3 linked regions of the Sus scrofa genome follow. The protein of the gene in region 3 purifies or fractionates together with the protein of the main gene of each other region. This does not show direct contact. Links are inferred from orthologs where the notes say so. Each region holds a gene or a part of one and is shown on either strand. Other genes may lie near its edges. The genes, in order: ARPC5L, ARPC1A and ARPC2.

Evidence for each region.
Region 1: the proteins of ARPC2 (region 3) and ARPC5L fractionate together in Homo sapiens (co-fractionation; 7 studies listed by BioGRID and IntAct, with this or other methods). This does not show direct contact. The link is inferred for Sus scrofa from reciprocal best matches to the Homo sapiens genes ARPC2 and ARPC5L.
Region 2: the proteins of ARPC2 (region 3) and ARPC1A purify together in Homo sapiens (affinity purification with mass spectrometry; 8 studies listed by BioGRID and IntAct, counting the BioPlex papers as one, with this or other methods). This does not show direct contact. The link is inferred for Sus scrofa from reciprocal best matches to the Homo sapiens genes ARPC2 and ARPC1A.

Annotation. Positions count from the first base shown.
Region 1 is NC_010443.5:265,647,480-265,657,466, forward strand, and holds the end of ARPC5L (actin-related protein 2/3 complex subunit 5-like protein), read left to right. Parts: intron 1-2,564; coding exon 2,565-2,637; intron 2,638-4,544; coding exon 4,545-4,721; intron 4,722-5,971; coding exon 5,972-6,034; downstream 6,035-9,987. Other genes in the region: GOLGA1 (golgin subfamily A member 1), read right to left, coding at 9,864-9,944. UniProt on the Homo sapiens protein: May function as component of the Arp2/3 complex which is involved in regulation of actin polymerization and together with an activating nucleation-promoting factor (NPF) mediates the formation of branched actin networks.
Region 2 is NC_010445.4:6,318,052-6,327,816, reverse strand, and holds the end of ARPC1A (actin-related protein 2/3 complex subunit 1A), read right to left. Parts: intron 9,746-9,765; coding exon 9,552-9,745; intron 5,131-9,551; coding exon 5,040-5,130; intron 3,680-5,039; coding exon 3,641-3,679; 3' UTR 3,291-3,640; downstream 1-3,290. UniProt on the Homo sapiens protein: Probably functions as a component of the Arp2/3 complex which is involved in regulation of actin polymerization and together with an activating nucleation-promoting factor (NPF) mediates the formation of branched actin networks.
Region 3 is NC_010457.5:120,292,009-120,303,368, reverse strand, and holds the start of ARPC2 (actin-related protein 2/3 complex subunit 2), read right to left. Parts: upstream 6,248-11,360; 5' UTR 6,189-6,247; intron 5,976-6,188; 5' UTR 5,968-5,975; coding exon 5,894-5,967; intron 1-5,893. UniProt on the Homo sapiens protein: Actin-binding component of the Arp2/3 complex, a multiprotein complex that mediates actin polymerization upon stimulation by nucleation-promoting factor (NPF).

The sequences.
Region 1 (9,987 bases), on a different chromosome or scaffold from region 3:
TTGGAGGCAGGGGATGGTAGTTTCTTCACTAATGGCAGTGTCAGAAACCTGGTTACCACGGAGGATGTACTTCTTGGGATTGGGGAAAGGGAGGTTAGCAGATGAGAACGGAAATCCTGGCAAATGTAGGGCCGGGAAGGGAGGAGGAAGGAACTAATATTTGCTGAGTCCTTACCGTGTGCCAGGTATTGGATTTACATTAGATTAATAAACTATAGAACAGGTTTCTAGGAGTCTTAGGACAGAGCAAGGGGAGTAGGGATAGGCGTTGATGGGGGACGGGGGTGTGGGGAGTAAGCCTGTCCTAGTGCGTAGAGGGAGGCCTGTGGTGATGGGAGATCACACAGATGAAATGGAGCATGGGCTGCACATCCGCACACACCCAGCTCAGTCATGCTCTGGCTCTGTGACTTTGAGCAGATCTCATTCGCTCTGTGACCCTCGGCATCTACCTCTGTGAAAGGGAGGAGAACCAAGCTTGGCTTACAGGTTCAACAGCGGCATCACCGGACAACATGCCAGAAGGCTTCAGCACAGGGCTGGACACACAGCAAGTGTCCTGGATGTGCACCTAGGGTCTGTGCGTGGCGTGGCAGCCAGAGGTTGTAGAAAGAGCTTGGCTTTGGAATCAGGCATACTTGGGTTTGAAGGCCACCTGGACAGCTTAGCTTTGTGACCCTGGGCAGGTCATTTTCCTTCTTTGAGCCTCAGATTCATTGCCTTTAAAATCAGAATAATCACTCTTGTCACAAAGAACTGTTAGCAGGGATGAGATTACATGTGAAAACACCTGGGCACAGGCTCTGAGCCCTTGTAGGGATTTTTAAGCACTAGATCCTTTTCTTGCTTGCTGAGGTACCTTTTGGTCCCTTGGAGCGGGAATCTGGCAAGAGCAGTGGTTTTGAGTGATTTTGCACTCTCCTCCCCCTAAAGAAATTTGTCTATTTTTGGACATATTTTGATCGTTACAACTTGGGGGGTGCTACTGGGATCCAGTGCAGAGAGGCCAGGGATGCTGGTAAATTGTATGATGCACAGGGTAGACCCTACATCAGTCATCTGGTCTAAAATGTCAGCAGTGCTGTGGTTGAGAAACCCTGATCTACAGGTGACTAGGTGCTGAGTCTGGAGGCCGGCTTGATAAATGGTAGGCCCCTCCTCGCTCCCCAGACCCCTCAGCCGCTGGTGGCCCTGCCTGTCAACACCTGCAGTGAATGCTTGGTAGACAGGCACCACAGCGAGATTAACTCTAGAGCAGTGACTCTTTTTGCCCCCTGGACTGGTTATCCTACCCTTATCCATTCATCTTCTGAAATATTTTGTTTCCCAGCCATGCTGGTTAGTGAAGAGTGCCAGCCCACGTTTCCTCTTAAGGCTCTGGGACTCTGCTCATTGCTCTGGGATGCCAAATTAGAAAAGAGTTCTGAGGTAGAAGTTATAAGTGGCTGGTATCAGGCTGGCCCTCACCTGGCTGGGAAAAAGGAATTCCAAAGCTGACAGATATGGGGGGTGTGGGAGAGTGGGCTGCCTCAAATTGGAAGGTAGGTCAGAGCCCAGCAGGGTGCTAGGGAGCCCGCAGGGGTGGCTCCCTGGCTGTATGGACCCGGCTCAGTCAAGATGGAGGCCTCACTAGGGAAGACCAGGGACTCAGCTTTGCTAGGGAGGCTGTCTGTTCACACGTGGGTATCGCTGCAGGAAGAGGAGGAGAGACCCCGATTGGGTAGAAGCCATTTCTTGTTCTATTTTTGAAGCCTTTTGGCTGAAGCCAGTGTTTCAGATGAGGAAATGAAAGTCAGCTGATGTAATTCAGTTTAAAATAGGTGTCACCTTTGGGGACCTAACCCAGATTGTAATTTTCTTTTGTGTGCTGGGTATTCTAAGCTCAGCAAAGCATGTGTCAGGACTCCAACTAAGGTTTGGGAAATGTGTGTGTAGGGGGGGATTGGTTCGTTTTGTTGGCAGAAGGCTCTTCTAGGTTATTAAATACCCCTCAGTTGGGACCCCACTGGCCTGGATAGGTCTTGGAAGATAAAAGTTTTAGCACATCTTAATTTCTTCAGTAGTTTACCTGAGACAAACATTGGATTAAGAGTTAGGAGACTTCCGTTTGTGCCTTCATTCTTCCCTTTTAAGAAGAGAGGATGAGAATGGTAACTTCACACAGTGATCACGAGGGTCTAGTAGGGCACTTATGGTGGCTGGTGCCGAGCAGGTGCAATCCAGCTCAGTCAGATTTTGTGCAAATTTCCCCAAGGGGGCAGTTGCTTTGCTGCTACCTTCCAGAGAGTGCATGCTTGTGTGTGTGTCCACACTGGCTTTGAAGGGGAAGGTTTAGGGGTGGCAGGAGGGCTTGCAGGGTTGGTAGAAATACCCCTTCCGCCCTCCGTGTGGCTCAGGAGAGCTGCAGGTGACCCTCTAATCAAGCTGTGCCTGCTTGGAAGCTGCAGGGGGAGGTGGGTGGATGTGGATAAGATGCCATTTGACTCTCAAGTTCTTTTTGACATGAGTTCATTAATAAAAGCATGGACATGCTAGAGCATAGCCATCCTTAACTGGAGATGCACAGGGGACATGCTTCGGGCATTTCACGCAGCCTTACGGAACTCCCCCGTCAACACCAAGAATCAAGCTGTGAAGGTAAACTGGGTCGAGCTGCAGCTCTTGTTGGGTGGTGTTGGGACCAGGGCTGTGGTTGTCCAGTGTGAACTCGCTGGGGCTCTGGACAGCGTCTGTTTCATCACTGCACCAGCGAGTATCTGCTAGGAGAGTGCATTGGCACTGGGCAGTGTTTCCACGAAAGCCTCCTGGTGCTCCTGTACCAGAGCTGTCAGTGTTTCCCCAAAGAAACGTTCACTTCCGAACCAGGCCCTCATGGGGTGAGAAGTCAGCCCAGCCCTTCCTGATGAACAAAACTATAAATTAGCTTGCCATGTGGGACGTAGCAGTGCTTTTATAAGCTATTGAATAGGCTTTATTTGCAAAAGGGTTTTTAGTGCTTTTATGATCTGCCTCTTAAAAACTAGGCAGACGATATAGCTGTGCAGACTGCAGAACTTAGGCCATCTAAAATCTCATTGCTGAGACTATCTAAAATTTGGTTCAGAGAAAGGGGTCTCTTTTTTTGTCTTTTTAGGGTTGCACCTGTGGCATATGGAACTTCCCAGGCTAGGGTTCGAATTGGAGCTATAGCTGCTGGCCTACACCATAGCTCACAGCAACACTGAATCCTTAACCCACTGAGCAAGGCCACATCCTCATGGATACTAGTTGGGTTCATTACTGCTGAGCCACAATGGGAACTCCCAGGGGTCTCTCTGAAGCTGGAATTCCACCATCTTGTGATGGCCTCTTTTTTTTAAAAAAAAAAAAAAGCTTTTAAGATATTTATTTACTTACTTACTTTTCATCTTTTTCGGGCTGCACCCACAGCATATGGAGTCTGCCATCCCAGGCTATGGGTCAAATCGGAGCTGTAGCTGCTGGCCTAAACCATAGCCACAGCAACATGGATCCGAGTGGCATCTGCACCCTACACCACAGCACACAGCAACGCTGGATCCTTAACCCACTGAGCAAGGCCAGGGATCAAAACTACATCCTCATGGATACTAGTCAGATTCATTTCCTCTGAGCCAGGACGGGAACTCCCTGTGATGGCATCTTGATGTAACCAATTGCTGCACCTCTCAAACCTGGAGCAGAATGGCCCCTTTGTTACCCTGGGGTGAACGAGAGGGAAGCTGCAGCCAAGTAAACGTGTTTTTGTTTGTTTTTTTTTATTTTTATTTTTTTTTTTTTGTCTTTTTGCTATTTCTTTGGGCCGCTCCCATGGCATATGGAGGTTCCCAGGTTAGGGGTCCAATCGGAGCTGTAGCCCCTGGCCTACACCAGAGCCACAGCAACAGGGATCCGAGCCGCGTCTGCGACCTACACCACAGCTCACGGCAACGCCGGATCCTTAACCCACTGAGCAAGGGCAGGGACCGAACCCGCAACCTCATGGTTCCTAGTCGGATTCGTTAACCACTGCGCCACGACGGGAACTCCTGTTTGTTTTTTTAAATCTAGATCTCCACAGTTATGATCTTATAGTGCTTAAGGCCTTGCTGGTGCCATCAAAAATAATGATGCTTGGGAGTTCCCACGTGGGGCTATGGGTTAAGATTCCAGAATTGTCACTGCTGTGGCTTGTTGGGTTGCTGCTGTGGCATGGGTTCGATCCCTGGTCTGGGAACTCTTGTGTGTTGTGGGTGCAGCTAAAAAAAAGTGGTGATGCCTCCCCCAGTAAACCACTTATTTCCCCGTCAAGTAAGTGGAATAAAAAAATTATTGGCTTTGAATACTTTGGGATACTTGGAAATTTAAATGAATAAAACAATTTCAGCCTAGTTATTTTTTTAACCATTCCAGATGAGTTAGAAATTGGGCAGTGTTTCTAATGAGTTCTGACTACTTGGTTTGGTGTTTCTGAGCCTGCATTGCGGGACGTGGCTATGCCTGGGCCATGGCTCTGAGCCTCCCTCCCCGCTCTCTTTCCTCTGTAGGAACGGGCCCAGGGTGTGGTGCTGAAAGTGCTTACAAATTTTAAGAGCAGCGAAATTGAGCAGGCTGTGCAGTCACTGGACAGAAATGGCATCGACTTGCTAATGAAGTACATTTATAAAGGGTTTGAGAAGCCCACAGAAAACAGCAGCGCAGTGTTACTCCAGTGGCATGAAAAGGTATGTGAACCCATGGCCTGCTCAGGCAGCCCACCGACTCATCCCAACCCCGGGGTTCACATCAGCAGACCAGGTTATCCAAAACAAACGTAGGAGAGTCTCAGAGGCATGTGAGAGGAAGGGGCCATGCCTCAAGCAACCTGGGACATCTGAGCACTTACCTCTCCCACGGAAGTACGTGGTAGGGGGTCTGCTGTCTCTGAGAGTCGCCATTGCCGTAGCAGCTGGTTTACGCCAGGCAGGCATGGGGTGGGTGACTCGGCGTGGTCAGGTAGCCAGGGAGTCCATGTGAGAGGCAGGCAGGCAGGCTTGCTGGTGGCTGGCGCTCTGTAATACTTTCTGTGGGTTGGTTGAGGTGGTAGTTGTGGGTCTTAGATGCAGGGCTGCATCCTCTGGTTAGCTCTGAGGGCTTCCTGCTCCGGCCTCAGCCTCCCCAGGCCGGAGCGGGCAGTACCAGAAAGCTTGGCAGTCGCTCAGCAGGACCTTCATCCACCTGATGCAGGAAAAGCTGTGCCTGACCTTGGCTGGGGTCAGTACAAAAGCAAGGCCTTTCATCAAGCCTGTGTCCTGCCTGTGTGCCACTGTCCTCTGCCCTGTAGAGCTCCAGGAAGCCTGCCTGTCATTAAAGGGGACCCGGCTAGTACCAACTCAAATGCCTTCCTAAAAGGCTCTGTTGAATTTTAAGGGCGTGGCCCTCACTGAGGGGTCAGTCGCTTGGGCAGCCTCAGGGCTGGGCTGGGGTGTGGACTTCCGTCTTGCTGGTGGGTGTGTCCTGCCCGCTCTGGAAAGTGGGCTCCTAGGCTCAGTGGCTCAGGGTGACCATGGTGCTCAGGGGAACTGGGCAAGCCCTCTGCCCCTTTTAAAGTAAAGCAGCTTGGTGCTCAGCCTTGCTGACATTTCAGCTCTTAATGGGCTAGTGTCTGTCTAAGCACTTCCGGCTGCGCCTGTGGGCTGGTCACCATCAGCTTGTCAGAGGGAAACTGGAGGGCTCTGTATGTTGGTAACAATGTTCTCAGGCCCAGTTCTGCTGCCTCAACAGCTAGCAGCTCTTGGGGGCCCTTGGTTCCAGGACAGGGCTCTGTCCATAGGACGTGGGCCCCGCTGGCACCTCCTAACTGTCCTCGCCCAGGAATCCTTTTTCAGAGGGTCTGCTGCATGTTGGGAGTGCACGGTCCCATCTCCCCTGCTAAGTTAGGCTCCCCTTGGCCAACCAGGTCTCATTTGACACCTTTCTTTTCCTGCCCCCACAGGCATTAGCAGTAGGAGGACTAGGCTCCATTATAAGAGTTCTTACAGCAAGAAAGACTGTTTAAAACAAAAACAAACAAACAAAAAAGACTCATGTTACCTTGAGAAGAATTTTGGATGCACAGGCTGGCGAAGAAGGGATTGACAATCGGCCATCTTCCTAGCAACTCCCAACTAAACAATTTCAGGACATGCATCCGCTGAAGTGTATTTTATTTTCAAGGTGGAGGGAGAAATCGTCTTACTGTTTCCTAAATCCTTTGCAGGATCTGATAGTCTATGCCTTTGTCCGCGAGTAATGCAGAACTGACATTGTGACTGTCTGCCAGAGTGGCTGGCCATCATTGGTCGGTCAGGTGTACCTGTGTGCACTGCCTGTTAAAAACAGGGGAGGGATGATTTGGGCAGGTGCAGATCCAAGGGCTGCGGTAAAGGGAGAGCTTGGTTTTTTGAAGTGGAAAACCCCCGAGGGTTTGTACAGACAGCCCATCCTCCCAGAGAAGGCGGGCTCTCTTGGGTTCATTGTAAAGTGCCTGCTGCATCAATAAAGCTCTTGGCTTATTAGTATATAACTCTGTGGTGTGTTTAGTGTATATTAAGAAAAAAAAAAAAAAAAAGAGTAATGAATGAGATGGTAGTGAATGCGAGGTTGCCTGTCCTGGGCACTGGATGTGGAGGGGCAGACGTGTGTCCCTGCTGACCACCCTAGGGAGGGAGTGTGGCAGTCCAGCCACCATAGTACCTCAGGCCTGAACTGCAGACATGTTTTGCTGCTACAGAGAGATGTTTTGCTGAATAACTATTCCTTTTACTCATTTGATCTGTATGTCATTTTGGAGTTTAATAAAGGGCCAGACATTCAATAATTGACCTAAACTTTCAAAGTCTTCAGTTTGTGTGGCTGCACTTGGACTCTTGAGAGTTCAGGGCTCAGAAGGGCCCAGGCACCATGTCCTGACGCTGGGTTCAGCTGTTTGGCAGGAACACTGCGATGTTGAGTTTTTTTGGTTTATTTTGTCTTCGTAGGGCCGAACCCGCAGCATATGGAAGTTCCCAGGCTATGGGGTTGAATCAGAGCTATAACTGCTGGCCTACTCCACAGCTACAAGCCATAGCAACGCGAGATCCGAGCCATGTCTGACCTGCACCACAACTCACGGCAACGCTGGATCCTTAACCTGCTGAGCAAGGCCGGGTATCAAAACCGTGTACGCGTGGATTCTAGTCAGGTTCGCTACCACTGAGCCACATGAGAACTCTAAGGAATTTTCTTCAAAGGATTAAGAGCCAGAGACAGGTAGCAATCAGCCTACAGATATAATAGGAACATTTTGTTCCCTGTAACCACTAACAATAAGCCCCTCTGAAGAGCAGAGGTGCTTTTCTTTCCTTTTTAGCACATGTGACTACACTTTGCATTCAATTAAAGCTAAGGACCCCATTCACATTTCTAAAGCTCAACCCCATCATGCGGGCCTTGAGATGGATGTTGACCACAGTGACAATCCTCCCGGCTCCTCTGCAGGACCCCCTACCCTTCCTGGGAGGGAACACTAGGCTGCCGGCTTCATTAAACTAAATATAAAGTTTATTCAGCCAGATCCAGTCGGGGGAGGCTCTTTCTGAAAGACATGTTCCACAGCCCCTACAGCCCTTTAAGTTCTGAATCCGAGACACAATGTGCTAAATTTAACCAGTCAAAGAAACACTGAAACACCAAACTGTATCAAGTAAAACCCACTGCATCTGGATGGAAGAGCTTTAATCAAAAAGTGTATTGCACCACAAGTGAATTCTCTACAGCAGTTTTAGATAATACAATCCCTATTTACAACATGGAGGCCAAGATCAAGATCCAATGCTCATATAAAGGGCGATGCATACTGTCTCTATCACAGAATGTTTTATACAAGTGAAAGTGCATGACATCACTTAGAATATTTACTCCACTCTCCTCTTAAAGCTGACAGAACTTCAACATGCAGGAGGAAAGCCTAATCAGAATGAACCCTCCCTGTGCAAGTACAGACTGAGGCATGGACCCCATGACCACGCATAAAACCGCCGTGTACGTGGGTGGGGGTGAGACCAGCTGCAGAGGCCACAGAGGAGCCGAGTGGGGCTCCTGTGGCTATACTCTTGTTGCCTCTGGCAAGCCCTGAACTACCCAAACTTTGGGAGTCTTTCCTGGAACAGCTAACTCTTACTCATCAAAGTTAACGGAACAGAAGGGACTCCTGTTTGGTGTCCCCACCAGATAAATGGAAAAAGCATCCTAGACAAGGATCAGACACCTGCAGGGGGAGCCACAGGAGGAGGTAGGTAATGGAGAGCGGGTCCCTTGGATGGCAGAGCCCCAGCTGGGACAAGGGTAATGCTGCCCTTGCGTGGTGCTTCTAGGTCCGTGGCATGTTACAGGTTAACTGCAAATCCTTGTTTTTCTGTGAGAAATACTTTGTATCTTAACCCTAAACATAATTTTACATCATTGGATAACTGATAGTAAAGTTAGGAGCTCCAGTTATTAATGCAGTTTTTTATTTAACCAGTAGAACTTTCATCAGACTATTCCATCAATATATGATTTCCCTTTAGACTCAATATTGTGGCTTATCTAGGGCAAGCATGTTCCCTTTTCTTTAATGATAATGAACAGAGTTTTCATCAGTCACTTCAGAGCCATCTGCGTGCTCTCCAGTACTGCAGCTGGAGGCTGTCTGGACACCATACGTCACTGTAGTGTCCTCTTAAATTATGTGGGGGAAGGACGACTGGGAGGGATGGTGGCTCCACACACAAGGCAGACTGCCTCCTATGTTTTGGTCAAGGCCGGGGACGAGGGTAGGGACAGCTGCTGCTTTTCTGAATACAGTGGACTGTCCTTAGTAGTAGAAAACTTGTGATCAGCATCTGCTCAGTGTTACAACACAGAAATGAGAGCAAATAAGCAAACGAAACACCACCACTGCCTCAGAGGGAAACAGATGCCACAGATTGCTAGTGGCGTCACAAAGGGACGGGGTCCCAATCTCAGAAAGAATTTCCTCTCGATGCTCTCATTTTCCTTTAAGAACACCAGTCAGATGGATTTTATAGTACAGAGGACGTGTTTATAATAGCTTGAGCTATAAAAAATAGTTTAAAATGGTTTACCAGCAACCTATCCAAGACACATTCATTAAAAAGGCAATTGAGTGTATTTGGTACTAAGGATCTTCTTACATATTTGCTAGTTTTCTTCAGTAAAATGAGATACGGTCATAAAGGTGCATATTCATTAATTCACATGGCCCCAGAATACCTTAGAGATGGACACATCTAAAGTTCTAGGTGGTTTGAGAAACAAGGTGGAATAACGTTTCCCAGAGAGAAAGGATTAAAAAACCTCTTAAACTCATCCGAACCCAAACATCCTAACAGGGAAGGGGAGTTTTTAAAAGCCAGCCCCACCACGTTGGCGCTTCGTGGCAGAAGCAGGTGGGTTTGGCCTGCTGGGCATTGTTTGGAAGGGCTGTCTTTGTCCAGCATCGCCACTACCCAATGCAGCAGCCGCCTTCCCTCTGACATGCTGATGGCTTCAGCTTTAAGTGCTAACATTGAAAGAGGACTCAGGTGCAGATGGGTGCTGGCCAGAGCTGGGGTTTTAGCAGCACTGCGGAGATGTGGGTAGTGTCAGGTCCCTCCCGTGTGGTGACCAGAATAACAGGATCAGCTACCTCCCGAAGTTCCTATCAGTCTGCAGGGAAGTGGGCCTTAAGTCTTGTAAACAATGTTTAGATGCTTGTACAAAATACTGCAGTTACAGTGATTAAAAACCCACCCAGACTGGTGTGTCAGTGTTCTTTTCACAGAAAAAGTGTCAGCCCTTGGAGCTCCATCCTTGGGTAGTTCCGCCTAGGACCACGGTATCCGGGGGCTGGAGATGGATGGCCGGATGCTGCCCTTGGGAGCTGGCTTGGACCCAAACCATGACATCTGTGTTTGAAACAGAAAAGGCTCCTGAGATGGGAATCAGGAC
Region 2 (9,765 bases), on a different chromosome or scaffold from region 3:
AATACATGGGAAACACACCTCAAACTGGGAAGCCTTGGGGGTGTATTTGCAGCGGCTCCCTGGGGGGACAGTTTTCTAAGCCTGAAGTGGAACAAGTGCTCGCGTGAGGAGAACCTGGGGGTGGAGGGATTTCATCTGGAGTTCCGAGAACAGCTCCGAGCTTTCTGTTTCTTCCTGGAATCTGCCTCCCCCGGTGCCCTGGGAAGATGCTGAGCTCTCCCTGCGCTTCGGCCTTCTCAGCTGTCCCGGGAAGGCAGGCTGACGCCTCCAGGCTGGGGCTGGCCAACGGGAGGCCCAGCCGGAGGGGCGGTGCCAGGTTGGGTCTCTGGGGTCGTCAAGGTTCCTTCTGACGCTCCGCTCCTTCCTGCCCCCTGCACTGGCCTTACTGCCTGCTGGGCACAAGATGGCAGCCTAGCTCCAGGCGTCTGGATGCAGGAGGCGGAGGGCTGGCCAAGGCCGTGGGAGGCCAGGGACAAAGACCTTTCCCAGAAGCGCCCAGCCCCGATTGCTGACCATGGGTCTCTCTCAGAGATCGAAGACCTGCCCCCCCCGTACCCATGAGAAAGAGGGGAGACCCTGGGCCTCTTGCCCAAGGCCACACATGCATGTGAGGTGGCAGAAGCCTCGGAGGGCAGAGATTGGCCACGGAGGCACAGAGACGCCCACCATGCCTTGCCAGGGGCCCAGTCTGGGCAGGTCTGATGGGCAGCACATGGCTCAGCTGAAAACTGCCCCCCGCCCCCAAGGCATCACCAGGGGGTCCCCTCCTGGTTCCAATGACATCACCCTGCTCCTGAGTGTGGTGACGACCAGGCTGGGTCCCAGGGCCTCTCCCCTCCCTGCCCTTGCAGCAGGGAGCGTGCTTGGCAGCTTCCCCTGGCGCTCTGGACAGACCGCTGAGGTTCCAATTCAGGCTTTGTCGTCTCTAGAAAGGGCAATTTCGGTTGCAACCGTGCAGTGCTGTGAGGAGCGCACATACCTCTGCGCAGCTCCCCTCATGCCCGGCCCAGCAGCCTTCCTCAGCGGCCCCCCCCCGCCCCCAGGCTCTCCCTGGATGGCTCTTTTGACCTTGACCCCCCCAGATAGACAGCCTGGGCCACAGGCCCGTGTATGTCTGAAACCAAACTGACTACGTGCATCACAGAATGTTGCTTTCTCCTGTTTCCGTGGCCACCGTGACTTTACAACCTATCAGTGGGCTCGGCCCCTCAGCTTGAGAAACTCCAAGCTCCAGGCTGTGCTTCGTGCCCTTGGCTGAGCTGACCTCGTGGGTTCGTTTCCTGCCGCTGCTGCTGGAGCAACTTACCATAGACGGGGTGGCTTGAGACCACACCAGTGTCTCCTATGGCTCTGGAGGTCAGAGGCCCCCAGCTGGTCTCAGAGGCAGGGGGCTGTTCCTGCTGGGGACTCCGGGGAGAATCAGCTCTGTCCTTCCAGCTCTCGGAGGCCCGTGGCCGTCTCAGGCTCCAGCCTGTGATTCAGCCTCCTCATGGCCTCAGACGCTGCCCCGCCTGCCTCCCGCCTGGAAGGAGCCTTGTGGGTACGTGGGGCCCACCTGGATGTTCGAGGCGCAGGAGCTGTAAGTTAATCCCATCTGCAAAGCGCACAGGTTCTGGAGATTCGCGCATGGCCGTCTTCGGGGGCCAGGAGTCTACCTGCCCCACCTGGCGTTTAAATCACACACACAACGCAAATAACTTGATCATTTATACGCCTGTCGGTGCTGTTCCATGTGGAGTGACACTGTTCCCTCAGCGACACTGCAGACGCTGAGGGAACCCTCGACTTTCACGTCACTGCCTCAGGCGGCACATGTGAGAGTGAAACCTCCAACCACCTCTGTGAACGGAGGGGTCATGTCTGAGCAATTAATCCTGGTTCTGAGGCTGAGCCCAGCTTTCCCACTAGAATATTCTCGAAAAAAATTTGTTGTTGTTGTTTTGGTTAGCAGAATCCTTCATACTATTTCGCTCTGTTATCAAGGGTCTCCAGGGCCTGGTATGGGGCAAAGCCAAGCCTGCACGCAAACCTCAGCTTTTCTGAGGAACAGGAGCTCTCCCTTTATTATTGCCATTTTACAGGTGAAGACACTGAGCTCACAGATGTTAATTATATTGCTGATGGTCACACAGCTCGGCAGAACTACAATCCGACACCAAAGCTTCCAACAAGCGCTTTGGGCGGTGTGTTCTGGCACAGTCAGGGGCTGCCTGGAACCCTTCAAATTGGGAGTCGCTGTGGACGGAGGTCTGGTCTGAGTCTCACAGGCAGGGTGAGAAGAGATGGGACCTTCCAGTGTCAGACGCCAGCACTGCGGCACAGCCCCGAGGGTTTCTGGCTGACACGTCGGGATGGGCCTTCTTCTGCAGGTGTGACACAGACCTAGTTAAAAAAAGATGAAAGATGAGACTCCGCCTCAAGTTTTGGAGGCCAAGGTAGTCATTTATTGTTTCTTTCATGGAATGCATTGTTTCTCTAACAACCTCTGGGCTTTCTCGCCAAACCATGCGATCTCATGAAACTCAAAAGCACTTGGTAGCACATTCCTGCCACTCGGCCGGCTTCTGTCTACCCTCGCTCTGCGACGACAGCCTTGCCGACGCACTGGCACAAACACACGCGCACAGGAGCTCCTGCCATCGGCGGCCACAGAGGATGCTCCAGCAAACGGGGAGGGAGAGGCAGGTGTGAGGAGGTGCGATTCTCTTCTGGCGGAAGTAGTGCGTCCCACGGGCCAGCGAATGGGCAAGACTGCTCTTTGGAGAAGCCCTGTCGCCAGCGAGCTGAGTTCAGGTCCCGGCTCCACTTCCGGGCACACTGCCAAGTTCAAGGCTACACTGTATTCCTGTTCCTCCCCAGCCACTTACTTTTGAGCTGGAGTCTCAGCCTTGAAATGTCAAACTTCGTGTCTAATTCTGATGAAGATAACTCCGTTCGGGCACAATCATCTCTAAGCTCAAACGACAACTTCTGTCTTTCCTCTCCCCCTGCACACGCCTGGTCCGCGCCCACCAAGGGCACAGGGCAGAGGCCTGGCTGCTGAGCAGAGGGGGGCTTCCTCTGTGCCTGTACCCAAGCTGGGAACAGTGTACCTCCCTCTCCTGCAGAAGTCCTGCCAGGCTAAGAGAGAGCATTCCAGAAGTGGTTCTCTGTGTTCAAGGTTGCACAAGACGGCTCAATTTAAGAAACTAAGCATCTAAGATTCTACCCTAAAAACTACCTAGGCTAACAAAGAATTTACACATATATTCGTATGAAAAATGCAAACAATATAAGGAAGCAAAACCAAAAACATATTCAGTGTTTTTATTTAAGTTTTTAGCAGACAATTTACATACCTCCCCCCTTCCTTTAAGTTAGTGTGACAATTTTCCATAATAAACTACTTGAAAAGAAGCTTTGGTCAAGAATGGAATGAAACAGCAAAACAAAAAAAAACAGAAAACAAAACCCAAATCACTGCTGCTTTTAAAAAAACCAACACTTGCACCAATTATACTCAAACAAAACACACGACAATGGCTCGCCACACGCGTCTTCAGTGTTTCTGGCGGCCGGCTCTCCTCCCATCCTGCGAACGGCGGCGCTGCCCCCGCGCAGCTGCCCGTCCTCGTGCTGGATCTGGGAGGCTCGCTCGGCTTCACATTATCCGAAGGCCCTGGATAGAAGACTCTAAGGTCTGGAGAGCGACAGGAAGCACAGCGTCATTACTGAGCACCCTCCATCCTGGGGTCCCCCCACCCCACTATACCAGCCCCGGCTCCCCGGCGAGGTCCCCCTCCCCTCGGACTCTCTCCCTCCCGGGACACGGCGCCCCCTGCTGGCCCTGTGCTCCCTCGTCCCCGTGGCGCAGCCCACAGGCCCTGGGCACACTCCTGTTCTCAGGGCACGTGTGGACTTAGCAACCCTAGATGCCCCGATGGCAGGCGCGCCTATGGTTTCTGCGGACCACATGCAGCCAGCCTGGGCGCTCCACACGGCTGGTGCCCCGAGGTGAGCCGAGAGAAAAATGCACCGGGACCTCCAAGGACCTGGCCTGTCAAAGACTAAAGGGCCGAGCACTAACTGCCCAGGTGGAGCCAACCACACAGGTGGCGATGCCCAGGATGTAAAGCGGCCGAAGGTAAAAGGGCGGGGAGGGACTTGCAGAGGCAGAAACGTCAAACAACGTGGAACCGCAGAGGCAGTGGCAAACTTCTGTTAAGTGTTTAACTTCTGGAGGTGAAACCCGCAGAGCTGCACACAGGAGCTGGGCCCGCTCCTCCTCCTCCTCCCTGGCGCCTTCTCTTGCCTGCCATCTGCCCAATCCCGAGGCTGGAGGGTGCAGAGTCCTTTGGCATCTGGCCCTCACTGTCACACACCCCAAATCTCTCTAGTCCAGAACCTCCTGGCCACACTGCCTTCTCCCAGCTGCAGCTCCAGGTTCCGCAGGCCCTGTGCACAGCCCCGAGAACTGGGTGCCTGAGGGCAGCGCGCCCTCCTGGCTGCTCCCTCCAGCCTCGGGATTGGGCGGGTGGTGGGCAAGCTAAGGATGCAGCTCAGGTACGGTCTCCTCCCTGCGGCGCTGGCAGTCCCTGTGCCAAAGCCCCACCCAGTTCCTCGGCGCGGAAAGAGGCAGTGGCTTTTCTTCTGCGCTCCATCCAGCCCCCCCTGCCCCCAGGGCTCCTTCATCTCAGCATCCTCCATGCCCAGCACCACGCCTGGCACCCAGCAGGCAGCGAGCGAGCATTTATTAGATTAACTAGTGTCAATGGTAAAACAGATCCAGAGAGTTAAACTAGACGGGCGCCCGGCACAGGGCCTGGGACAAACAGCAGCGCTCGGCTGTTCGCAATGACAAATGGACTTCCAGGAGCCTGGAGTCCATCGCATCGAGAGAGCACCGTTTTCTCCCGCTACAACTTGCAGGTGTTGAAAAGCCCAGGGCGCTGCCCTCTGACGCGCACGGATTTGACGGCTGGTTCCAAGAAATGACACACAGCCCTCTCACAGCAAGAGTTTTAACACAAACAAGATTTGTTCTGAAAGGTGGAAGATACCTTGAAATCCCAAATTGTCATGGCTCCGTCAATGCCAGTAGTGCAAAATTTGCGACAATCTTGCTTGTCCACCTCATAAATAGACACTTGCCTGAAAAAAAGCAAAAACAGGGGAGACCGTAAGGTCTGTGGCGGAAGTGAGCGCAGCAGCACTGGCAGGAAACGAAATGCCCATCAGCTCCTGTAAGGTGCCCATCGGAAGGAGTCTGCGGCCCTCTGACCCTGAAACTATTCAAGGGCATTTTATGACCACGTGTCCGGAAAAGAAAGAGGCTGAGAAGAGGGAAAAGTTAAGACCCTCGTTAATTAGAGGGACGGGGAGAAGCAGGACCCTTCAGGCTAGAGTGGAGCAGGGAGTGGGCAGGAGCACAGCTCTGACGGAAACGGAAACCAATTCTGAAACAATAAACCAGAGGCAGGAGGAGGCATGACTGAAATCCAACTGGCTCCAAACAAAAACTCCCACATCGCCCTCTGAGGCGGCCCGGGCTTAGGAGCCAAGCGCTCTCCCCGCACTTGAATCATTATAAATATCAGGGACATCCAGACACGCCGCAAAATTCCAACCGAGCGAAGCAAAGCAGAGGAGCATCTTAATGAAACAGCTTCGCTTATTAGTCTCAGTGTGTGAGAAACTTTCAAGAAAACCAGTTCCACAGCTTAGATAATATGTCTTTCGCCTCTGAAATGTCTAGAACATTCCCTCTGGGGAAGGGGATGGCACACTTCACCTGTTTTTGTACAATCTATGTGAGCTAAAAAATGACTTTTACGGTTTGTGGTTTTTTTTGGATTGTAGTAGATTTACCATGTTGTGCCAATTTCTGCTGTACAGCACAGGGACCCGGTCATGATAAATATACATTCTTTTTAAAGAATATTATTTTCCATCATGCTCTGTGCCAGGAGACTGCATAAGAGTTCCCCGTGAATACAGCAGGGTCTCACAGCCTAACCATTCTAAATTTCTCAATCTAACAGTCGGCTTCTGCTAACCCCAAACTCCCATCCATCCCACTCCCCCTGACGTTTACAGTTTTAAATGGTTGGAAAAAAATCAAAAGATTACTATTTAATTATGTGAAAATTATGTGAAATTCACACTTCAGTGTCCATAAAGTTTTTTGTTTTTTTGTTTTTTTTTTGCTATTTCTTGGGCCGCTCCTGCGGCATATGGAGGTTAGGGGTCGAATTGGAGCTGTAGCCACCGGCCTACACCAAAGCCACAGCAACGCGGGATCCGAGCCGCAACTGCGACCCACACCACAGCTCATGGCAATGTCGGATCCTTAAACCACTGAGCAAGGCCAGGGACCGAACCCGCAACCTCATGGGTCCTAGTTGGATTCGTTAACCACTGCGCCACGACGGGAACTCCCCATAACGTTTTTTTTTTTTTTTTTTTTTTTGCTTTTTAGAGCCGCAGCCACGGCATATGAAGGTTCCCAGGCCGGGGGGGGGGTCTAATCAGAGCTACAGCAATGCCAGATCCGAGCCTGTCTGTGGCGTGTTACACCACAGTTTACGGCAACACCGGATCCTTAACCCACTGAGTGAGGCCAGGGATCGAACCCGCAACCTCCTGGTTCCTAGTCAGATTCGTTTCTGCTGCACCATGACAGGAACTCCAAGTTTTGTATTTTTGTCTTTTTGCCTTTTCTAGGGTTGCTCCCATGGCATATGGAGGTTCCTAGGCTAGGGGTCAAATCAGCTGTAGCTGCCGGCCTACACCACAGCCTCAGCAATGCAGGATCCAAGCCGTGACTGCGACCCACACCACAGCTCACGGCAACGCTAGATCCTCAACCCACTGAGCGAGGCCTGGGATCGAACCCATAACCTCATGGTTCTGAGTCGGGTTCATTTCTGCTGTGCCATGATGGGAACTCCAAGTGTCCATAAAGTTTTACTGAAACACATTCATGCTCATTTATCTCCACACTGCCCACAGCAGCCTGTGGCCACGATGGCAGAGCTGAGTACCTGTGATGGAGATTGTATGGCCACTCAGAGCAAATTTATACTCTCTGGTTCCTTAGAGAAAGTCTGCTGACCTTGTTCCAGGATTTAATATCTGCAAATAAAGTAGTCATGCCAATATGCAAAGGTGTTTTTATTTTTAATCTAGAAGTCTCAAGAGGCAATGAGAGCTGTTTCCTTCCAGATAGTTGGCAGAGAAACTTAAGAGAAATTCACAGGAGTTCCCAAGGTGGCACAGCAGAAACAACTCTGACTAGGAATCATGAGGTTGCAGGTTTGATCCCTGGCCCTGCTCAGTGGGTTAAGGATCCGGTGTTGTCGTGAGCTATGGTGTAGGTTGCAGACGAGGCTCAGATCTGACGTTGCTGTGGCTGTGGCGTAGGCCGGCAGCTGTAACTCCGATTAGACCCCTAGCCTGGGAACCTCCATATACTGCAGGTGCAGCCCTAAAAAGCATAAATAAATAAATAAATAAATAAATAAATAAATAAATAAAATGAAAAAGAAATTCACAGAAATTAATTTTGAAAATCACTCCAGGAGTTCCCGTCGTGGCGCAGTGGTTAGCAAATCCGACTAGGAACACAGGTTGTGGGTTCGGTCCCTGCCCTTGCTCAGTGGTTTAAGGATCCGGCGTTGCCATGAGCTGTGGTGTGGGTTGCAGACGCGGCTCGGATCCCGCGTTGCTGTGCCTCTGGTGTAGGCCGGTGGCTATAGCTCCGATTCGACCCCTAGCCTGGGAACCTCCATATGCCGCGGGAGAGGCCCAAGAAATAGCAAAAAGACAAAAAAAAAAAAAAAAAAAAAGAAAATCACTCCAGACAGAGAAACTTGAAAAGTGTGGAGCAAAGTTCTGCTCTGCCTTCAAATGACTACTTATCGTACAGTATAGACATTTCCAGCCTCTTTTAAGCCCAGTGGCCCTTCCCACTGGACACGACGGAAAGCATGAGCTGCGCAGCAGAAAAGAAAGATGAACATCACATGATATCATTTAAAGGTGGAATCCAACATACAGCACAAGTGGAGCTCCCACCGTGGCTCAGTGCTAAGGAACCCACTTAGTATCTATGAGGATGTGGGTTTGATCCTCGGCCCCGCTCGGTGGGTTGCTGTGGGCTGTGGTGTAGGTCACAGATGTGGCTTGGATCTGGGGTTGCTGTGGCTGTGGGGTAGGGTGGTAGCTGCAGCTCCAATTCAAGCCCTAGCCTGGGAACTTCCATATGCTGCAGGTGCGGCCCTAAAAAGACATACACACAAAAAGGCCTAAACGAACCTATCTGAGAAACAGAGAACAGACTTGTCGTCGCCAAGGGAGATGGAAGGACTAGATGGAAGGAGTTTTGGGGTTAGCAGAGGCAAGCCAGTATACATAGGATACACGACGGATCCTACTGCAGAGCACAGGGAATGATATTCAACACCCTGTGATAAACCACAATGGAAAAGAATGTGAGAAAGAATGTATACACGCGTAACTGAGTCACTCTGCTGTACAACAGAAATGAACATGTGCAAATGGTCTCTACTTCAATAAAACTTAAAAAAACTGAAAAAAAATTTGAAAAAGACGTACAATTTGCACTTAATAGTTCTCTCAAAGAGAACGTCTAGAGGGTTCCGTTACTCTTCCCCTGAACATCACCCCAGTAAAAGTCAACGCAAAAGGTTCGTCAGAGAGAAAAATCCTATCATACCCAACTCTGAACACAATAATTGAAAATATCAAGATTACATCGCATTTCTCTTCTAGATGTAAGAGAAGAAAAATGAAGCTTTTTGGACAAAACACAATTTTACAGTCTCATTTAATCACATAAACCTGATGAAAAATAAGTCAAGACGCTCCTCAGCTTTGTCATCACGGTGCTGGGAAATGGGTCTAATTAGATGATCTCCTCACTTGTACACGTTATTTATTTATTTATTTTTTTGTCTTTTTGCCATTTCTAGGGGTGCTCCTGTGGCATTTGGAGATTCCCAGGCTAGGGGTCGAATCGGAGCTGTAGCTGCCGGCCTACACCACAGCCACGGCAACAGGGGATCCGAACCGCCTCTGCGACCTACACCACAGCTCACCGCAATGCCGGATCCTTACCCACTGAGCAAGGCCAGGGATCAAACCCACAACCTCATGGTTCCTAGTGGGATCTGCTAACCACTGAGCCACCACGGGAACTCCTTGTACACATTATTTGAAATCCAGGTTGAAATGACAGTTCGAACCACCTTTTTGGACAGGACATACCTCACCCTCCTGTCAAGTGCTCTCTCCTAGAGGAACCTGACTTTCAGGAGGGCCTCTCATTCTCGGTCAAGCTTCTGAGCAAGCGAGACCCAGGCAGAGGCCGCCTGATAGGCCACAGGAGGCTCTGCACTCCACGCCCCGGGAGGGACTGACTCCCTGCGACAGGCGGAAAACGAGAGGCGGCAGTCGGGCAGCTACGGACCTCTCGCCGCTCCTGTTGCCGAAGGGACGCCTGGGCCCACGGGACAGGACACAGAGAGGGGAGAGGGCACCCCGCCACCTACGTGATGCTGTTCTGGTGCAGCGTCTCCAGGGCCGTGTTGCGGTCCTCGGTCGTGGCCCGCTTGTCCATGTTGCGGAAGCGCTCCATGGCGGACAGGTTGCGCTGGATGCTCTGTTTCGGAAGGTCGAGCTTGGAGACGAAGGTCAGGCAGCCGCGGTCATCGTAGTTAAAGAGCATCGGGCAGCAGTCATGGCCCTGAAACAAGGTCCCGGTCA
Region 3 (11,360 bases):
GGGAGCACTGAACACACTTTCCTAAGTAAGGTTGGCTGTGCCAAAGAGGCAGGGTGGAGGCTTATAAAAGTCCACGTTGCATCACTTAGTAGGCAGCTGGGGTTTGTTTTTGTTTTTAACCTTTAGGCTTTACTCAGCTAGGAAGGACCACGATCCTCACTTTCTTACTTCACCAACAGACTGAGAAAAATCAACTACAGATAAATAACCTTAGGGCTCCAACATTTTGACTCTGACAATTTGAATTTCTCTAGGCAGGAAAGTTCCCTGAGCACAGATCCCCACTGGGAGAAGTCGCTAAAATCTATACTAAGTGGTTTGCTGACCGAACTGGGACTATTTGTCAAATCACTGCCATTAATATTTTAGTTTACTATTTATGGCTGCATAAAGGTTGCAGAGGAGAGAGGCAGGCTGCTGAGGAGAGCACCAGGCCAAAGAAGTCTTCCCAGAAAGTCTTCTGGAAGTCAGAGGCCTGTGCCCCAACCAGGAGACTGCATGGAGTGGGAAATATATCACAATTCCGAGACCTGGAACGGTGATAATTCTGGGTATCTGTTATTTACTTTTGTGGTTTAAAATTGTGAGCTAGCGGGGGTTAAGACTGACTTGTCTGGAGAGAAGGATACCATTTAATAGGCCAAAAAGGTAAATGGTTTTCTGTTCTACTGTCTGCTGGAGTTTTGGATGCTGAGAGTGCGTTTCATCACAGAAAAAGCACGTCTTTCAGAGCTGACTCTTCACCTCAAATTCTGTCACTTTCTGGCTAAGTAACCACAGGCAACGGTACTCAAATGTCCGCAAGCCAAAGGTTCCTTTTCTAGAAAACGGAGATTAAAAATATCTACCACACAAGGTTGTTGTGAAGACTAAGTGAGATGCTATGTGGACAGCAAAGTTTCCCAAGAGTCTTGTGACTAAGTTACAGATATGCTGAGATAACAATCCCTACAGCCCTTAGGGCAGCCCATTGGCAGGATCTCTAGACCACTTGCCCAGATGTACCAGACTGAGATGATTATAGCCTGGGTGTGACATATCTTAAACAACGTCAGGAATCAGCAGGGAAGGGTGCCTGCACTCATACAGAGTCTACTCCCTCAGCAACTTCCAAGAGTCCCAGTTTTGCCAACTGTAAATCAGAACTGCTATCTGCTACATAGGCACATTATGAAAGGAAGTGAAACTAAAAGCTTACTGCAAAGTGCACGGTTCTGGAAGGTGATCAATGAATTAGTTTTTCTTTTGGGTGGAGTGAGAGGAGATCAGACTTTGAAGCAGTGGTTGAGAGAGCTTTTGGGATTGTGCTAACCCTCAGAATTAGGTACTGGTCAGCAGAGCAAGGAGAAACAGAACTCTATTAGTGTCAGAATATTGTAATGTCTGGAATCCCAGAATAGGCCAGCTGGTTACTGACTGGACAGCATATGACACTAAAATATATTCAGTTCATTCAGATGGGTTTCAAGAGCCATTCTTAAAATCCTTTAGGAAAAATTCCTTCTATCCTTTTTCTAAGGAAGCTTCTAGAATGTCACTAATCAGTCAATAAAGAACTCCAACTGTTATCCAATCCTCTTTTCTCATTAAGGATTTTGGAGTTTTTACTCCCAAATGCATCCAGGTCCCCATTTGTGCATTTATGTCCCTCTTCTAGTTATTCCTTCCATGTGCAGAATCGGAATTAGAGAAATTATTGAATTCTGCTCATTATCTCACCATAAAGTTTTTGATCACTCTCCTTTAGGTCCTCTCTAGGGCTCCTACCATTCTTTTTGAGTAAAGCCTACAAAAATGGGTCATATTAGGTAAGAAGTGGTCCCACTCCCCAAAAGCTGACTCACCCAATGTCAGAAAAGTGATAATCTCCTAAAGAAACTATGAGCCATTCTACCTGGCTTCATCCATTGCTTCAAGAGAACACTTACTGAGCTGACTAGACACACACCAAGAACGCTGGGGAAACAAAGATGACTAAAATGACAGACCCTGCCCTAAGGAGTCAAAGGTTTGGTGGAGTGTAGCTCTGAGGGGGCTTCGTGCCCAAAGTGGCCCCAGGGAGGTCAGAGGATGGGCAGCAGTGGGTAACTACAGAGACCTGTAAAAAGACCAACCAGGTCATCTCAGCAAGTCAGCCACTATGTTCAATTTCTTCTAAATGCTTGAACAATGTCCTAATTCCAAACCCCTTCAAACCAGTCTGTCTCTCTGAGGACATACGCAGCATATTCGGGAATGAGAACAAGGTATCAGCAAGATTTAATTTATTCCTTTCTCAAATTTCTCCTCCTCCAGTCCTCGCCCACCCCAACTGGCACGGCTTGCTTACCGAGCTTCACTCCCCCTCACAGAACCACAGCGCCCCACAATATGCACAGCTGTGGCAAGGAGCCAGTGTGCACTTAAAATCAACAGCTATTCGAATCTGACAGCATTTCCTCAATTGTAGACTCATAACTCTAGCTACGCTGACAAGCCTAGCTTTGAAGCTGTAAGAGTTCTTGGTGTATACACTAACAAAAGAATTAAATTAATTTCCCAGATTACTTCTGCTTTAATTGGAGGTTGGGGTAAGAATTCCTAAATGAAAAAGCCAAAATACCAAACACTACTAACTAGACCTACACGTGAGGTTATCTGCAGTGTTGAGCATTGCTCAATTAGCCACATTCTCCTAGCTTGGAGGCTGTTGGGAAGACAATTTACCAATAATGATCATTTTGTGAGGATATATAAATCATTCCAATAAGTGTGTGTGGTAGGAAAAAATAAAAGTAATTTGTTTGGAATCTTACTTAAGGCTTTGTTGGAACTGCCTCCAAATTAAAACACTGTCATGACCAAATGCATTCTTAAATAGTTCAGATAACAGAACTACTTTACCCAAAGGAGATTTAGGCTTTTAGTAGGATGTCACAGGCAAGATTCAGCAGGATGATGAGAGGCATCATCTTATTTTCACACTGTACAAACTCCCTTCAGTGCTCGCAGCCCACAGGTAAGGAGGCTGAGCAGTGGTTTGAGGCTGCAGTCTACTCTAGCATGGGTACACTATGATAGGCCCACAGAGACGGACCTACCATAAATCCATTACCATGCTCTGAGAGGTACCATTCAAAAAAAGACCAACTTCAAAAGCAAAATTACTATAACTGTACTCTCAAGTATATACCACAGAACTATTTTTAAGACGATCTCATGCTTACATTTTCAGTAGCTGGAGCAGTGTTATCCAATAGGACTTTCAGCAATAGTGGAAATGCTCTCTATCTGTGCTGCCCAAATACGGCTGCTACTAGCCACACACGGCAACTGAGCCTCGACCTGTGGCTAGTGTAACTGAGGAGCTTAATTTTAATTCACTTCAATTTTTATTTAAACTTAACTACCACACACAGCTGCTGGCTATCATTACTGGACATCACAGAGTTGGAAGGTCCACTGTGGGGAAGGCCACTGTGAATCTAATTTCCCCAACTGATTTGCTGAGAAGTGTAAAGCAGGGAGGGGCTGACCTCTCCCAGCAGGTTCCCAAGCCTTTCCAATCTCCAGGGTTTCTCCTCCAAGCTACTGCCTTTCTTTAATGTCCACCCCAACACTCCTCTGTAACTTTCTTACAGACTCTCTCAGAAAGGCCCCTCTTTTCTGTTCCTGCCTGGTGCTGAGCACTGGCAGAACCCCATAAATGTTTATGATTATCACACCAGATAGCCTTCTCTGGAAGTTCTGGCTAGGCCTGCGCTTTGATAAATACTTAACTACTTCACTGCCGCCTCACCTTACTGGTGGTATGCCTGGAAATTCACATTCCTTCTAGAGGCAGGCTTCTGCTAAAAGGTACATGTGCAATCCCAGGAAAGCCCTGCCTTCGAGGCTGAATATCATGGTCTCTTTCGAAAGATTTTCAAAGTGCTTTCCAGCAGAACATGCTTTGAGCCCACTTATTTAAAATCACATCTCAAAGGGAAGATGGGCCAGAGTAAAAGCCAAAACCTTGCTGCCCTGTTCCACTATTTGACATTGCCACAACATATACTTTGTTAAAAAAAAAAAAGGCCCAGAAATTCTAACTTATCCCTTCCGGACTTGAGTGACTACTTTATTCCTGCTGAAATGATTAGTAAATCTTTTTAAGCGAACTATTCTAAAAGGGAAAAGAGTTGAAGCTCTATAAGGGGCTACATTTCAGAATCACGAGATATTAAAACACAAGTAGATGTGAATATACTCTTACACTACAAGGCATGCTTCTACTTGAAAATGCACAGGGATATATCTTGTAGATCAGCTTATAACCATCCAGGTCTCATTTTTTGCTAGTTTAAACTTGCGAATTAATTCACTTAAGATCATCTGTGAAAATGCAGAAGTTAATTTAACTTCCTCCTATGTGCTACACTGCTCAAAAAAGTACCCAGCAATCACCCAAAATAAGCCACTAAGCTGATTCGCTCAAACATTTAAAATGCAAAGGAACTGGTAAGCAAAGCTGAAGACAAGAAGCAAGCTAACCTAAAATATAAGTAACTGCAGCCCCTGACAGGAAACAGTAGCTACTGCTCACTGCCTATGTTACTTCAAGGAAAGTTGTTCTTTGTTTTATAGATAAAATCTATGGCTTTATAAAAGAGATTAGAAGACACAATATATTCAATTTAAGCAGTTGGTTAAAAGCATTTTTTTTTTCAAAATGCCTCCAAGCCACAAGTTCGTTTTGTCCACTTAGAATTTCCCCTTCACCAATACTCTCCCATCTGTGACTCTTCAAGCACTTACTCTCCTATTCCTAGTTCCCAGTTCGCCAGAAACAGTTTGCACTTACTTCCTCCACTGTGTAACCAAGATGTGAAGCCCCATCCTCAAGGGATGGGGAAATGAGGCAAAGAGACTGGCCGCAGGCCATCCAAAATTAGGAGCTAAAACCAATTCCTTGGTTCATGTTTTAAATATTGTATCAGACAAGCGAACAACTTGGGGGGAGGTCGTCTTTCTACTGGTTCTGCGTTTGACAGAGACGGCTGCCTTAGAAACATCTCCTAAAGCCCATTTTTAAAAGGGCCAATGGTTAAAAACAGGTTTATCTAAGAACGTTACAGGCTCTGAAGGCATTTCAGTGTGTTATCTGGGCCAGAATTACTACAGAAGAAATCACAGGCCAGGGGTATGATACAAGAACTTAAAAAGATAAACAACCAGATAGAGGATACTGGGTGGAGAAAGGAGAATAGAACCTCAGAGGAGTGATAAGGAAGGGGTGTGGATGGGGGGGGTATTAACTTTGCTTGCGAAATGTGACAAAATAGGCAGTGTCTGTTACAGAAGGGTTCGGTGAAGGAAAACTAGAGAGATCGGGTTTTCCGGCTGCAAGACTGGGCCTGCCTTCAGCTTTCCCTCTGGCTCCTTTAGACGAGGAGGTGGGGGTGGGGAGCGAGAAGGCTGGTGGTGATCTGCGCCTCTTCTGGGTACATCTTCTTCACTCTTCCAGTCCTGGGAATCCCTGAAAACTCCTTCCAACCCAATCCCCAATGGGCTCTCTCCGGGTTCTGAACAATGACGGGAGAATACGGTGGGAAGCGGTCCCCTGCTCGCTCCAGAGGGCAATGGGATCCTCCAGCGAGAGTTCCGGTCCAAGCTACCCTCACGTCCCACAGGTCTCTTTGGCACGCGCACTCCTGTCCACTCACTGCTTCCGCATCCTTCCTCTGAGCCTCTCCCCACGCATCTCTGCCCCTCACCCCGCCGCGCCCAACCACCTCCCATGTCTACCCCGCCGGGGCAGTCCCTGCACCCGGCCAGGTCTCCCACCTCCCTACTCCACGTATGACGGTCTGAACGATTGGCAGGGGTCAACTTTGCCTCCCCCGCCACCCACCGGCCCTAGGCGCGCGCTCACCCGGCGGCCGCGTTCTCGAACTTGAGCGCGAGCGTCTCCTCGATGATGCGGTTGTTCACCTCCAGCAGGATCATGGCGGCGGCTGCCCCGGACAGGGGAAGGAGAAACAAGGGCGGGTGAGGGTGGGTAAGGGAGGAAAGGACGGAGGGAGCGGCCCTGCTGCCCCCTGAGGAGGGGGGCTGGGTGGGGAAGGTTAGGGGAGAAGGGGAAAGGGACCAGGGTGGGGGAAAGGGGAAGACGCGCGTGCTAGCCCGCGCACGCACTGACTGTGGAGACACCCACCCACCCGACCGACCTGGCCCCCGAAGCCTGAACCCGCCTGCCGAGCCGCCGCCGCCGCCGCCGCCGCCGCCGCTGCCGCCTCACCGACAAGCTCGGTCCCCGCCCAGCCCCCGGCTCCAGCCGGCCACTTCCGCTCTCACACCCACTTCCGCTCGCCGCCCGGACGCGCGGCCCCGAGGCCCCGCGGCGCCATTTCCGCTCCGACCCCTCGTGCGCGCGCACGCAGGCGCACCAGGTGAAGGGGCGGAGGCCGCGCGTGCGCACGCGCGATGCCGCGACTCTCCACTTTCCCACAGCCCCGCCCTCGGCCCGCTGTTGAAAGTGTGTCTCCCGGCTAGCTGTCATTCCTCGAGGCCTGCCTCGCGGTCCAGCGCTTGCATCCTGCACTCCCGAAGAGTTTACTTCTACGCACGAGGTCCTGTTATTTCTGACAAGAAGCTCACTGTTTTCATTTCCTAGTCGGCGTCTTTACTCTCACTTTGTGGTCGGTGTGATCCTTCCTCATGCCACACTAATGGCTGTCCAGTGGCACCATCGTGCCTTAATTTGCTCAGCAAATGTTAAGTGGGCTCCTGTTCTGTGCTGGGGATACAGTGACGCCTGAAACAGATGAGGTTCCGCCCTCGTGGAGCTTATAGTCTGGCAAAGGAAACAGACAACAAACTTTCAGATATGTAACTACAAATCGGTTAAAAGAGCAAAGAAGGAAAGGAATGAGACGTCACCAAAGTGAATAAGCCTCCCTGGGTTCCTCTCTTGTCTCCCTTTCTGTGCCTGGAGATGCCTCTAGGTGCCCCAAACGTGATTTTTTTCTGCCTTACCTCCCAGCACCTCTGCCAGAGACATAATTTTTTACTCATCTGTGTGAGGAAAATGAACTCATTTTTGTGTTGCGTCTGCCTGTGTGCCTGGTTTTGTACTTTTCCTTCTCCAGGGAGAATCTAACAAATTTAGCTGAGCTCTTTTTAGGAGTATTGATTTATTTTCTGCTAAGTGTTCTTAAGAAAGTATCAGGGAGGCAAAAATTGACAAAAACTAGCTCTTGTCATCAGGCCCAGACAGCTCTTCAAAATGAATTTATTTACTGGACATGGATAAACTTCAAGACATTGCAAATACCCCCAAATTATTTGCTAACTCTCTTTTTTTCTGTTTAGGGGTGCTCCTGCTTTCTTTTCCAATTCAGAAGACTCAAGTCATATTTTCCATCCACTTAGTAGAGACCTTCTATAGAGCTTCCTTTCTGCTTTCCTTCATTCCTCTTTTTCTTCTTCTTTTTTCTTTCTTTCTTTCTTTTTTTTCTTGATTTTTAGGGCCACACCTGCTGCTTATGGAGGTTCCCAGGCTAGGGGTCCAATCGGAGCTACAGCCGCCCTCCTACGCCATGGGCATAGCAACTCAGGATTCAAGAGCAGTGTCTGTGACCTAGACCACAGCTCATGGCAACATCAGATCTTAACCCACTGAGTGGGGCCAGGGATTGAACCTGCATCCTCATGGATCCTAGTCAGGTTCGTTAACCGCTGAGCCACGAAGGGAACTCCCTCTATTTTTTTAATGGCCACACCTGTGGCAAATTGGAGTTGCAGCTGCCTGCCTGTGCTACAGCCACAACAATGCCAGATCTGAGCCTCATAGGCGACCTATGCTGCACTTGTGGCAACACTGGATCCTTAACCCACTGAGTAAGGCCAGGGATTGAACTCATAGCCTCATGGATGCTAGTTGGGTTCTTAATCTGCTGATCTGCAATGGAAACGCCTATGCTAACGTTTTAACATTGTTTATTGAACGAAATAATGCAGATACATTACTAAAAGTATATGCAGACTACATATACTATAAAGACTTGTAATGGAAGAAGGAGTTCCCTGGCCTACTCTTTAGCGGCAATAGCCTCAACTCTTTTATATGTTCATCCAGATTAGATCCACATATCTAAATAAATGCTTACGCTACTAATTCTTGATTTGTTAATTTTAAAGATTATTTGTTGGCTTCCTATCATGATAGATAAGAACATGACTATCACTTCTGTTCTCCACCTCCACTGTTATGTAACAATTTTTAGTTAAACCAATAATCAGGGAGTTCTGTCGTGGCGCAGTGGTTAATGAACCTGACTAGGAACCATGAGGTTGCAGGTTCAATCCCTGCTCTTTCTCAGTGGGTTAAGGATCCGGCGTTGCTGTGAGCTGTGGTGTAGGCTGCAGATGCGGCTCAGATCCCACGTTGCTGTGGCTCTGGCGTAGGCTGGCGGCTACAGCTACTATTGGACCCTCAGCCTGGGAACCTCCATATGCCGCAGGAGCGGCCCTAGAAAAGGCAAAAAGACAAAAAAACAAAAACAAAAACAAAACAAAAAACCCCCCAATAATCAGTATTTAGGGAGTTCCCATTGTAGTGCAGTGGGGATGAATCCGACTAGGAACCATGAGGTTGCAGGTTCGATCCCTGGCCTTGCTCAGTGGGTTAAGGATCCAGTGTTGCTGTGAACTGTGGTGTAGGTCGAAGATGCAGCTCAGATCTAGTGTTGCTGTGGCTGTGGCTTAGGCCGGTGTCTGCAGCTCTGATTTGACCCCTTGCCTGGGAACCTCCATATGCCACGGGTACAGCCCTAAAAAGCAAAACAAAAACAAACAAACCAGCATTTAAATTATGTATAATTTAAATCTGCATATACACATACATATTAAATTATGTATATTTAAATTATGTATAATCAGCATTTAAATTATGTATGCAAACATTGTTTGCCAGTGAGCCAATAGGTGCCCTACAACCATGCCTTCTAGCTTATACAGACTTCCATTAAAAAAAAAATTAGTTGATATACAATGTTGTGCTAATTTCTGCTGTACAACAGTGACTCAGTTATATATGTGCATATATATATATATATTCTTTTTTAATATTTCCTTCCATTATGTTTTATCCCAGGAAATTAGATATAGTTCCACTTCATTATTTTTCTTTTCTTTTTATGGCTGCATCTGAGGCATGTGGATGTTTCCGGGCTAGGGGTCGAATTGGAGCTGCTGGCCTATACTACAGACACATCAACTCTGGATCTGAGCCACATCTGCAACGTATACGGCAGGTTGCGTCAATGCCGGATCCTTAACCCACTGAGCGAGGCCAGGAATTGAACCCACCTCACGGACACCATGTCAGGTTCTTAGCCTGTTGACCAAAAGGGAAACTCCTCCCTTCATTTTTCTTAAAGGTTCATTATTGCCTTTTTTCCTCACTTGTCAATTTTCTATATTATCTACAGTTAGCTGCCTCCACCCCTGCAAGTGCTCTAAGACTGTCCAAGAGTTGGGCAATATTTTCCATATACTCAAATGCATACGTTCCATTTTTTCTCTAGAATCGTTGTCTCAGAGCCTCCTTCCTCCTGTTTCAATCCGGACTGACTACTCCCTACACTTGCTGTATAGTTGCCACTCTGGAATTTTCCTTCATTGCTGTTCTGGGCTGGTTTTGCCCATTTCCTGGATCCCATGCCTTCCTCTTCCTTGATTTACTTCCTTGTTTTGCTAAAGCACCTCTAGTAACTTTGTAAGGAAGAGAGATAGGGGATATGCTGTTGGATCACTGTACATTTTAAAACATCTTAGTTTTATTCTAACACGATTTGTAGTTGGATTTATAGTTGGGCTGGTTTTTGAATTCAAGTTTGAAAATAATTTTCCATCATAATTTTAAAGGTGTTATTAGTTTTCTTCTACCTTCCCGGGTTACTATTGTAAAAATTCTGATTCCTATTCATATTCCTGATCCTTTGTACGTTATATCTTCTCCATTTCTGAAAGCATTAGGATTTTCTCTTTAGGCTATTGGTTGGAAATTTTATAATGATGTGCTTTGTTGTGACTCTTTGGAGGAAATTTTCTTTGATTATTTCCTTTGTAATTTCCATTTTCTTTGTTCTTTCTGGAATGTCTGTTATTTAGAAGTTAGAATTCTGGATTGACCTTTTCATTTTTTTCTTCTATTTTCTGTTTCTTTGGGTTTGTTTGTTTGATTTTTATTTTTAATTGTGGTAAATATACGTAACATGAAATTTATCATCTCACCCTTTTTTTTTTTCCTGTCTTTTGTCTTTTTAGGGCCGCACCCGCGGCATATGGAGGTTCCCAGGCTAGGGGCCTAATTGGAGCTGTAGCTGCTGGCCTACACCAGAGCCACAGCAACTCGGGATCTGAGCTGTGTTTGCAACCTACACCACAGCTCACAGCAGCGCCGGATCCTTATCTCACTGAGTGAGGCCAGGGATCGAACCAGAAACCTCGTGGTTCCTAGTCGGATGCACTTCCGCTGTGCCATGACGGGAACTCCCATCTCATATTTTTAAAAGTACAGTTTAGTAGTGTTAAGTTTATTCATATTGTAATGCAACCAAAAACTCTTTTCATTTTGCAAAACTGAACCTATACTCATTGTTTGTTTGCTTTTGTGTGTGTGTATGTGTTCTATTTTTCTGAGATATTGCCTTGTCATTATCATCACCATTTTAAGTTTCAACTTTCTTATTTTTAATTTCCAAGACTTTTTTTTTGGGGGGGTGGGGTTAAGGCTGCACTTGCGTCATATGGAAGTTCCCAGGCAAAGGGTCATATTGGAGCTGTAGCTGCTGGTCTACTCCATAGCCACAGCAACTTGGGATCTGAGCTTCATCTACAATCTACACTACAGCTTGCAGCAACGCTGGATCCTTAATCCAATGAGTGAGGCCAGGGATTGAACCCGCATCCTCATGGACACTGTGTCAGGTTCTTAACCCACTGAGCCACAGTGGAAACTCCCTTCCCAAGACCTTTCCCACACACACCCCAACTCCCTTTCCAGTGTTATTCTGTCTGTATTTTATGGACAGGAATATGTTCTCTCTGAGGAGAAGATATAATGTGCTTGTTTTAGTTTTTCTTCAGCTCTTTGCTTTGATCAATTTCTTTGGGGTTTTGTTTTAATGCTACTTTATTTTGGTCTCTCTTGTTTATGTTAATGGCTATCTTCAAAAGTCTGGCCACTTTATAAAGTCAGACAGAGATAGACAAATATCTATGAAATCGCTAATATGTGGAATTGAACAGAATGTTACAGGGAACTTGTTAACGAAACAGAATCAGAGTCAAAGATTTTGAAACCAAATTTATGTTTCCAAAGGGAAAACAGTGGA